2 linked regions of the Macaca fascicularis genome follow. The protein of the gene in region 2 purifies or fractionates together with the protein of the main gene of each other region. This does not show direct contact. Links are inferred from orthologs where the notes say so. Each region holds a gene or a part of one and is shown on either strand. Other genes may lie near its edges. The genes, in order: PLEKHG5 and RND3.

Region 1 (3,810 bases), on a different chromosome or scaffold from region 2:
ACCTCTGCCCTGGCTCAGCCTCCATATTTCACCTCTGAGGGTGCTTCCTCCCTCCAGGAAGCTCCAAGCCCAGGGCAGGTGCTCCCATTCCTAAGCCGAAATCCCTACACTGCCGGCTCACTCTGGCCTGTCCAGGGTGTGGGCTGCTGGGCACCCAGCACACAGCAAGTGTTGGGAAACAGCCACTGAACGAAAGTGAAAGAATGAAGCCGCACCTGTGCTAATTCAGTTGAACCTGGCAAACCTGCCTGAAGCCCCCTCCCAGGTTCCTCTAGGAGCCACCTCCTCCCTGGGCACAGCCCTTGTCTGACTTTCCTGCCCCCACCTCATTGCCAGGCACCTGCTCCTTCTGCAAAGGCTCCCACTCAGCTGAGGGCTGTCAGAAAGAGACCAGAAAGAGGGGGGCAGGGTGACCACGGGGACCAGCGCAGCCCCTACTCACATTGGTGATCACCCGCAGTTTCCTGATGTAGGAGGCCTCCGTGTGCAGCAGCTCCCACACTGCCTCTTGCTGGTGGCACTGCCGCCGAGTCAGCTTCTACAGGGAGGGCAGGACGGGTCAACAAGGAGGCCTGGAGCACCTTCGGGTGGCCAGGGAGGATAAGCAAACTGCACGCAGCTTTCTCATCTTCCCAACGGGGACACGGAGGTCCCAAGAGGAGCAGGGTCACCCTTGATACCACGTGAATAATCACAGTCAAGACACCCAAGATCTGGGCCCTCCTCTGCCATTGAAACAGCCAAGCAGCACACCATTTTCATCCAGCCTCTGTCTCCAAAGTGGGCTCATAATAACAGTGGCCTCTTTGGGGCATCCCATAGAACATCTCATCACTAGATCCTCCTCCCAAGGGCTGTCCTCCTTTTGGGACAAGGAGGGAGCAGCACTGTGGCCCGCACTCACCTCATGCCCATCAATGAGCTCCCGCCAGCTGTCCTCCAGCCTCAGGCAGGCATTGTCCTCATCCTCGTCCTCATCATCCTCCTCCCAGGAGTCATGGTCGAAGCGCAGCCTCCGGGGCAGCCTAGGCAGCCCGAAGAGGCTGTAGGTGTGCAGCTTGCCCTCCAGCTGCTCCATCTTGTCTACCTCCTGGGAGGATACCCTGGTCAGGGTCAGAGGTCACGGCCAGCCAGCTGCCTGACCCTGGGCAGATGGGGCCACATACCCGGCCAAAGGCGCTGGTGCTGGGGCCTGAGCTGAAAAAGCCGCTGAAGCGACTGGCCGCCCGGTTCTTCCAGCTGTCGCCGCTGCTGGTGCTGCCACTACTGCCACTGGGCAAAGAGCAGCTAGAGGGCGTGGGGGGCTCCTGCCCAGGGATGCTCGCCTCCCCCAGGAACTCCGACATGTTCTTACGGCGGCGGCCAGGGGCCTGACCAGGGAGGGGTGGTCAGGGCCGGGACCCCCTGCCAGCCCCCATGGCCCCACCCCAAGGTGGGTTTCCAGGGCCTTAGGCCAGCCTGGGATGGAGGAGGGTCTCTGCATCTCTACCCTGGGGTGTCCCCTCTCCTGGGACCCAGACATGTCTGGAGACTGGAAGGTCCAGACACAGATACGCCCAGACTATCAGCCCCAAGTCCCCCAGCTTCAAGCATGAAGCGCAGAGTTACACACACTCAGATGCACTCTGGAACACAGCTCTGGGCGGTCTGTAGCCCGGGGCACTTCTCTCACGCACACATGCACACACAGGTTCCCTGACCCGCTGGCACTAGAAGAGTCTCAGATACAAGCCCTCACCTTGCGCTAGGTCCAGAGAGAGAGGGTCCCTTACTCTCACAGCCAGCCCCACTTTCCAGAAGGAGCAATTAAATCCCCAAGAGGGGGCAGTGAGAGACCCAGGGTGACTGCCTCTGAGGAGGGGCTGTGGGTCCAGCCTGGGGCCCTTCCCACCTCCTCCCCTGACACACCCCCCCCCTCCTCACTAAGATGTCCAGGCTCTCCCGGCGGCTCTGGGGGTCCACACGCTCCAGGGCGGGGGGCGCAGTCCCAGCTGGCCGCAGGATCGGCAGACTCAGGGACTTGGAGTCCTTCACGCCCTGCTCCACCTTGCCCTCATCTCCAGGCTTGGCTGGGGTCGCGTGTGGGGGCCATGAGAGATCCTCAGTACCCAGGTCTGGTGGAGGAGGGGGCCCCAGTCCTCTCTCCCTGAAGGATCCACACCAAGGCCTGCCTGCCCTCCCCCTACAGCCGTGCCCTGCCAGCCCTCCCCCCACCCCGCCTCTCCCCCCAGCAAGCAGCACCCGCAGAGACACCTGTATGGTAATGAGGCTGCTCAGGCCCACAGCCAATGGGAACCTGAGCCTGGGAAGGTGCCCATCTCCAGGAGGCTCCGCCAGCCCCAGCGGCCCCTTTTGGCCCAGGCTGCTGCTCACCTTTGACACGAAGATAGTGTCCCCCGAACCTGTAGGCCTCGAAGGAGAGGGACAGGGGTGTGTTGGACTGGTCCAGGTAGATGTCCACTTTGCCCAGCGCGATGCCCTTCCTTTCAAATACAGGCAGCAGCACCTCCCTGCCCCCAGGACAGGAGGCGTGTGTGTTAGAACAAGGCAGCCAGTCGCTTCAGCTTGGGCCCTGCCCCCACGAGCCCCTGCCCCACCCACAGCCCTAGCTGCCCCCACCTTCCCCCACCTTCCCAACAGAAAAGGGAAGCCCGTGTGGGATCACACGCAGGTCCACAGACACCTGCCCGCAGAGGTCCTCACACAGGCGCATCTGCACACCATGGCAGACCTGTCACACGCCTACCCACACGCAGGCCTGGCTCCTACATACATGATTAAAACGCACAAGTACACAGACCCCGCCACACTCCCTCACAGTGGCGTGCACACCCACACGGGTCTGCCCACGCAGGGATGTGCTCGCTTATGGGCCACCACACAGACACACAGGTCACACCTGCAGAGACCCGGAACCTGCGACATGGGGCCACCCCTGCTCCCAGTCCCACTTCCATCCTGAGCGCCCCCAAGCCCTACCCCAGCGACTTCTTCTTCATGGCTGGGACGATCTCCGTCTCTATATCCACATTCAGGTCAAATTTCAGGGTGAAGCACTCCTTGCTCGGGTCCTGAGAGAATGGGGGCGGGGGGGGGAGCTGTGAGCTTCTCCTCTCCATCCTCCTCCCCACCCTCCGGTCTGGGATGGGAACCCCAGCAAGAAAGGGAACCCCAGCGATCTCCCAGGCCTCTGCAGCCTGGGATGCAGACCTCCCCACCCCAGTCCCGGAGAGAGGCCCAGGCTCAGGGAAGGGCGCAGGCTGTCGGGAGCCCCCATGTGCCGTCCCGGGGATGCTCCTCACATCCGTGTGTCTCCTCCTTGCTTTCTTCTTGGAGAGTTTCAGGCCTGTGCTCTTCCGGTCCCTGCAGGGAAGCAGGGAGGGCAGAGGCTGGAGGTGTGGGTGGCCCTCACCAGCGTGGGCAGCGAGTGGGCCTGTGGCTTCCCCACCCCTCGCTCACCCCAGGTGACAGGTAACCCGCGTGGATTCAACCCTGCCAGGCCCGAATGGGGCTGTGCGCCCTCTGGTGGCCAACATGGGAGTCACACCGAACGGTACCTGGTCTGGTGTGGGCCAGGATCCCAAGCGCCCTGGACGCTGGCCCAGGCTGGGTGGCCTCTTCCCGTAGTCAGGACAGCCACAGGGGTGGGGAGAGGTCTGCCCGTCAGCCTTACTCGGAGAGGGCACCAAAGCATCTGGTCCTGAATGTCTGATCTGAGACCCAGCCTTGGGGCCCCCCAGGTATCTCTCTGCCCACTCACCCCTCACCTACCCTTTGCCATCCACAGAGCTCTCTTCATCCTCCTCCTCC
Region 2 (3,810 bases):
CCCTTCCTCCCACTGGCCTCCCTACTTCCTGTGACCCATCCTGTAATAGGTCCTCTTCCTCTTGATCTCCCTCTGGTTCCTTCCATCCATAGCTTCCTTAGTTAGGTTCCTTCTTCACCTACAGAACCTGACTAACCTTTGCCTCCATAAACTATGTGTACGTTATAATATATAACATGTTTACAAGCCCTGCTTCTACATTACTAGAAAGATAACTGATCATAATTACTAGACAGATACCTGATCATCAGACAATTCACATTGGACACATCCCTATTCCTCCTATACTAGTTCCATTTCTGTTTCTAATACCATAACTAAAACACAGCTTATTAAAATAGCCATTATTGCATTCCTTTCACTAACTGACTTGAGGTCAAATGTAACTCTGTAAGCTAAGGTGCAATCGGTTGAGTCACTGAAAGAAGGAAGGAAGACATGAATATGATAGTAATCAAATATAACTGTTTTCAGCTGTACCATTTTCTCCCGAAAGACAAACACGCAGGCCCTTGAAAGGTATTCTGTTTCAGAGCTTCATGAAATAAAATTTCAAGCATGTTCATCATCAAAAAGTGGAAACCCCATTTTGGTGTGAAAGGGTTCTTTCTAGTGTTTAATTACAAATTGTAAGGCAGGGAATTGACTAGAGTCTTTGAGTTCCCCAGCAATCCCCATGTTTCTATTTATATATCACCTAGTACTGAAGTGTGTCATCATTCCCCAGCACTTGCCTTTTTGAGGACACTGTCCAGGGTCTCTGGTCTACTGATGTCAAAGCAAATCAGCACGGCATCCGAATCAGGGTAAGAGAGGGGGCGGACATTGTCATAGTAAGGAGAACCTGAGAAGAAACAAAGATACACAGATTTTCAGATGAGAGTCCCCTTGTCTGTCATGCATTAACTCTACCCTTTCGGGCTAAGTCCTTTGACTGTCACATCATGACCCAACCCCCACTTCCCCTCATTCTTGGAAAAGAATTTAAACAGACACACAAAAGCCTGCTTGGAAGTATATGATGAATGAAACCTCACATGTATCTGACATAAATTCAAGAGGAGGGCCTGGATCTTAAGGTGAAATCTGTATGGTTCAAAGACTAGGGCCTGAAGTTACCTGGGTGAAGTAGGGAAGCACCTGGGGCCAGGTGGTCTTGAGTGCAAACCTGCCTCCACCACTAAAGAGGGAGGGGGCAAGGTAGCTTTGGGACTCTGTGCTTCTGATTCTTCACTCATAAAATGAAGATGCTGACAACATACGTACCTGAGATTAAGTAAACCCAGGCAGTGCCTGGCTTTTAGTAAGGGATCAATACGTATTCACTATGGGTATTATGGTTGTATTACCGCTACTGTTAAAAGCTGAGTGGTAAAAAGAATCAGAAACTGAACTACTTCTTGGGAAAGAGACCTAAACTCAAGATAAATCTGACAGCAGGATGGGGGTGAATGAGGGAGAGCGGAAGAGGGAGGGTTCAACAACTACGCAAAGAGAAACCACAGTGTTACCCCATCTCCAAGTTGTAAGTTTAGATAGGCTATTGACCTTTGAGCTTGCTTATTTCAACTTATTGCCAAACCCTATACAGATTTTCTTCCTGTTACAACTCAGAATGTAATAAATGTCATACAGGATCATGTCACTTTTTTACAGAGTCCCATCTCTGAAGTGATGCTAAGGCATGATCCAAGGATCTTAACCTGAATTAAATCCAGGGTACCCTAAATGTTCAAGGCACCAGCCAATTACTTTAACCACAGAACTCTCTAGTCAATCAAGGAAGTTTTTCTATTTCTTTAAGAATTCCAAAGGATGGGCAATTACATGAGGACAATAGTTATGAAGTGATTGACTAGAAAACTAAATACAGCTTGTTTAAGAAATCGTTTTAGGTATACTGACATTTCCCAAGCATCACATGAAAATGATTTTACTAGGAAATATATACACACGTATGTATCTGACTCCAGAGTAGAAAAAGAAAATCTAAACCACCAAACTCTTTTTAAAAGTCTATTTCAATTTGACATCACTTTCCATTTTGAGCAGAAAAACAGGACATGTTGTCCCCTGATAAATCAAAACCTCAACAGGCAAAGTCAGGAAGAGAGACTTAAAAAGCAGCTTTAAAAAATATCACTGTTTATATTTCTATTAAAACAACATTTGCTTGGAGGCTGTTCTTGTGATCTAAAAGGCACTGCAGTCAGGGGGGCATCACCCTCTATTCACACAGTACACTCTGGGTCCCTGGCATCCGCTGCGGAACCCCAGGCAACAGTGCAGCTTTTTCCCTAGCTGCTTGACGATGGAGAGTGACAACTTCAAGCCACGTGTGTCTGCTAAGCAAGGAAGAAAAGAAAGTTACAAGAATCAGGAAGAAAAATGTGAATAAATAGAGAATTAAGTCAGAGCTGTTCATGAGCTGCAGCAGCTGCCTACCCTCATCTGGAACCAGAACCCTGGCAGAGCAGAGGCTGACAGCTGAAAGATATTTCTCAAAAGCTTAAAGGGTTTAGAGTTTAAAAAGTCAAGTCATTTTAAGTATGAAGGTATATTAGAATGAGGCTGTCTCTGAAAATGACAAGCTGTGGCTGCCTTTTCAGTCGCTGAAAGAACTCTGAGGTGAAGAGAATAATTCACAAATAGTTCACTCATTTGAACATTCGAGAGGCATCAGAAACTAGATGGTTGAACACTATTTACGGCTACATTAGTATTTCTGTATTACCTCTGAGAAGTTCACACTTTTTCAACTAGAACCTTTCCTGTTTCTGTGTCCAAAGTCTAACTCTAGCACAGCGCCTGCTGTAAACATTTGAATGACTCTTTCCAAACAGGGAGTCAAAAAATTCTAGATCATAGAGTGGAGCTCCAAATACTGGACACATAAATGAGAGTTTCCTCTGGTCCTCAAAGTCAGCAAGAGACGACCTGATCCCAGACCCAGGAAGGCAAAGTTGCCAACAGTTAGGATTGTCAGAAACCTAACGAGGCTTCAGAGATCTCTTTTCCCAGATATCACTCACAACACGAAAAACCACTGTCTCCCTGTGGAGAGCTTCCAGTACAAGCAGACCTGGTATCTTTAGAGGACAGTTCCAGGTACCTACCAGCTCCTTTCAGGATACGATCTGTATGATGTGAGAGTACTCACTGCTAATTCCAGATGTAACACTACTCTATGACAATGGAGACCATCTTTTCCAAATACAAAAATTAGGAAACGCGATTGAAGAAATACAAAGAGGATGAAAGAGTTTAATTGAAATTGAGACTGCCAGGAAAATCCTGAGGAATGGTTTCAACATTCAGGTCACCATGTGACTGCTGGGAATACCCCTCCCTTTGTGGACTATGTTTCCCATCCCCCACCCATTTTATGGCCACAAAGGAGATCTGGCTTTGTGCTCAGCCCTGTGTCACCTGCTGGAGACTGCTACCTACTAAAATCCAGCGGGCTGGCTTCTGTGCTTAGTGCATATATCCAAGTATTTGCAAAATTTAGACTCTGGCCTGATTTTAAAATGAAACAGGGTTCTCCAGTTAAACCAGATTCTCAGGGAAGTTTGTATCTGCTTTTGTTTTTACCTGGTTAACAGTACGAGTGAAAATACATATGTAGTGCAAAGGTTTATAAGAAATAAACCACCGTGCTTGTGGAGGTAGACAGGTAATTTTTCAGAGTTTTAACATGATCTAATTTGGGATGCCACTTTGATCCCATTCTATTACTTTTGCTAATGAACAGTGCTGCTTTTAGATCAACACAAGTGTCCAAAGGTACTAGTAAAACTGATTCCCATA

Evidence for each region.
Region 1: the proteins of RND3 (region 2) and PLEKHG5 purify together in Homo sapiens (affinity purification with western blotting; 3 studies listed by BioGRID and IntAct, with this or other methods). This does not show direct contact. The link is inferred for Macaca fascicularis from reciprocal best matches to the Homo sapiens genes RND3 and PLEKHG5.

Annotation. Positions count from the first base shown.
Region 1 is NC_088375.1:228,398,647-228,402,456, reverse strand, and holds part of PLEKHG5 (pleckstrin homology domain-containing family G member 5), read right to left. Parts: coding exon 3,772-3,810; intron 3,364-3,771; coding exon 3,303-3,363; intron 3,072-3,302; coding exon 2,980-3,071; intron 2,511-2,979; coding exon 2,374-2,510; intron 2,115-2,373; coding exon 1,924-2,114; intron 1,371-1,923; coding exon 1,167-1,370; intron 1,091-1,166; coding exon 905-1,090; intron 539-904; coding exon 443-538; intron 1-442. UniProt on the Homo sapiens protein: Functions as a guanine exchange factor (GEF) for RAB26 and thus regulates autophagy of synaptic vesicles in axon terminal of motoneurons. Involved in the control of neuronal cell differentiation.
Region 2 is NC_088386.1:46,025,029-46,028,838, forward strand, and holds part of RND3 (rho-related GTP-binding protein RhoE), read right to left. Parts: intron 845-3,810; coding exon 735-844; intron 1-734. UniProt on the Homo sapiens protein: Binds GTP but lacks intrinsic GTPase activity and is resistant to Rho-specific GTPase-activating proteins.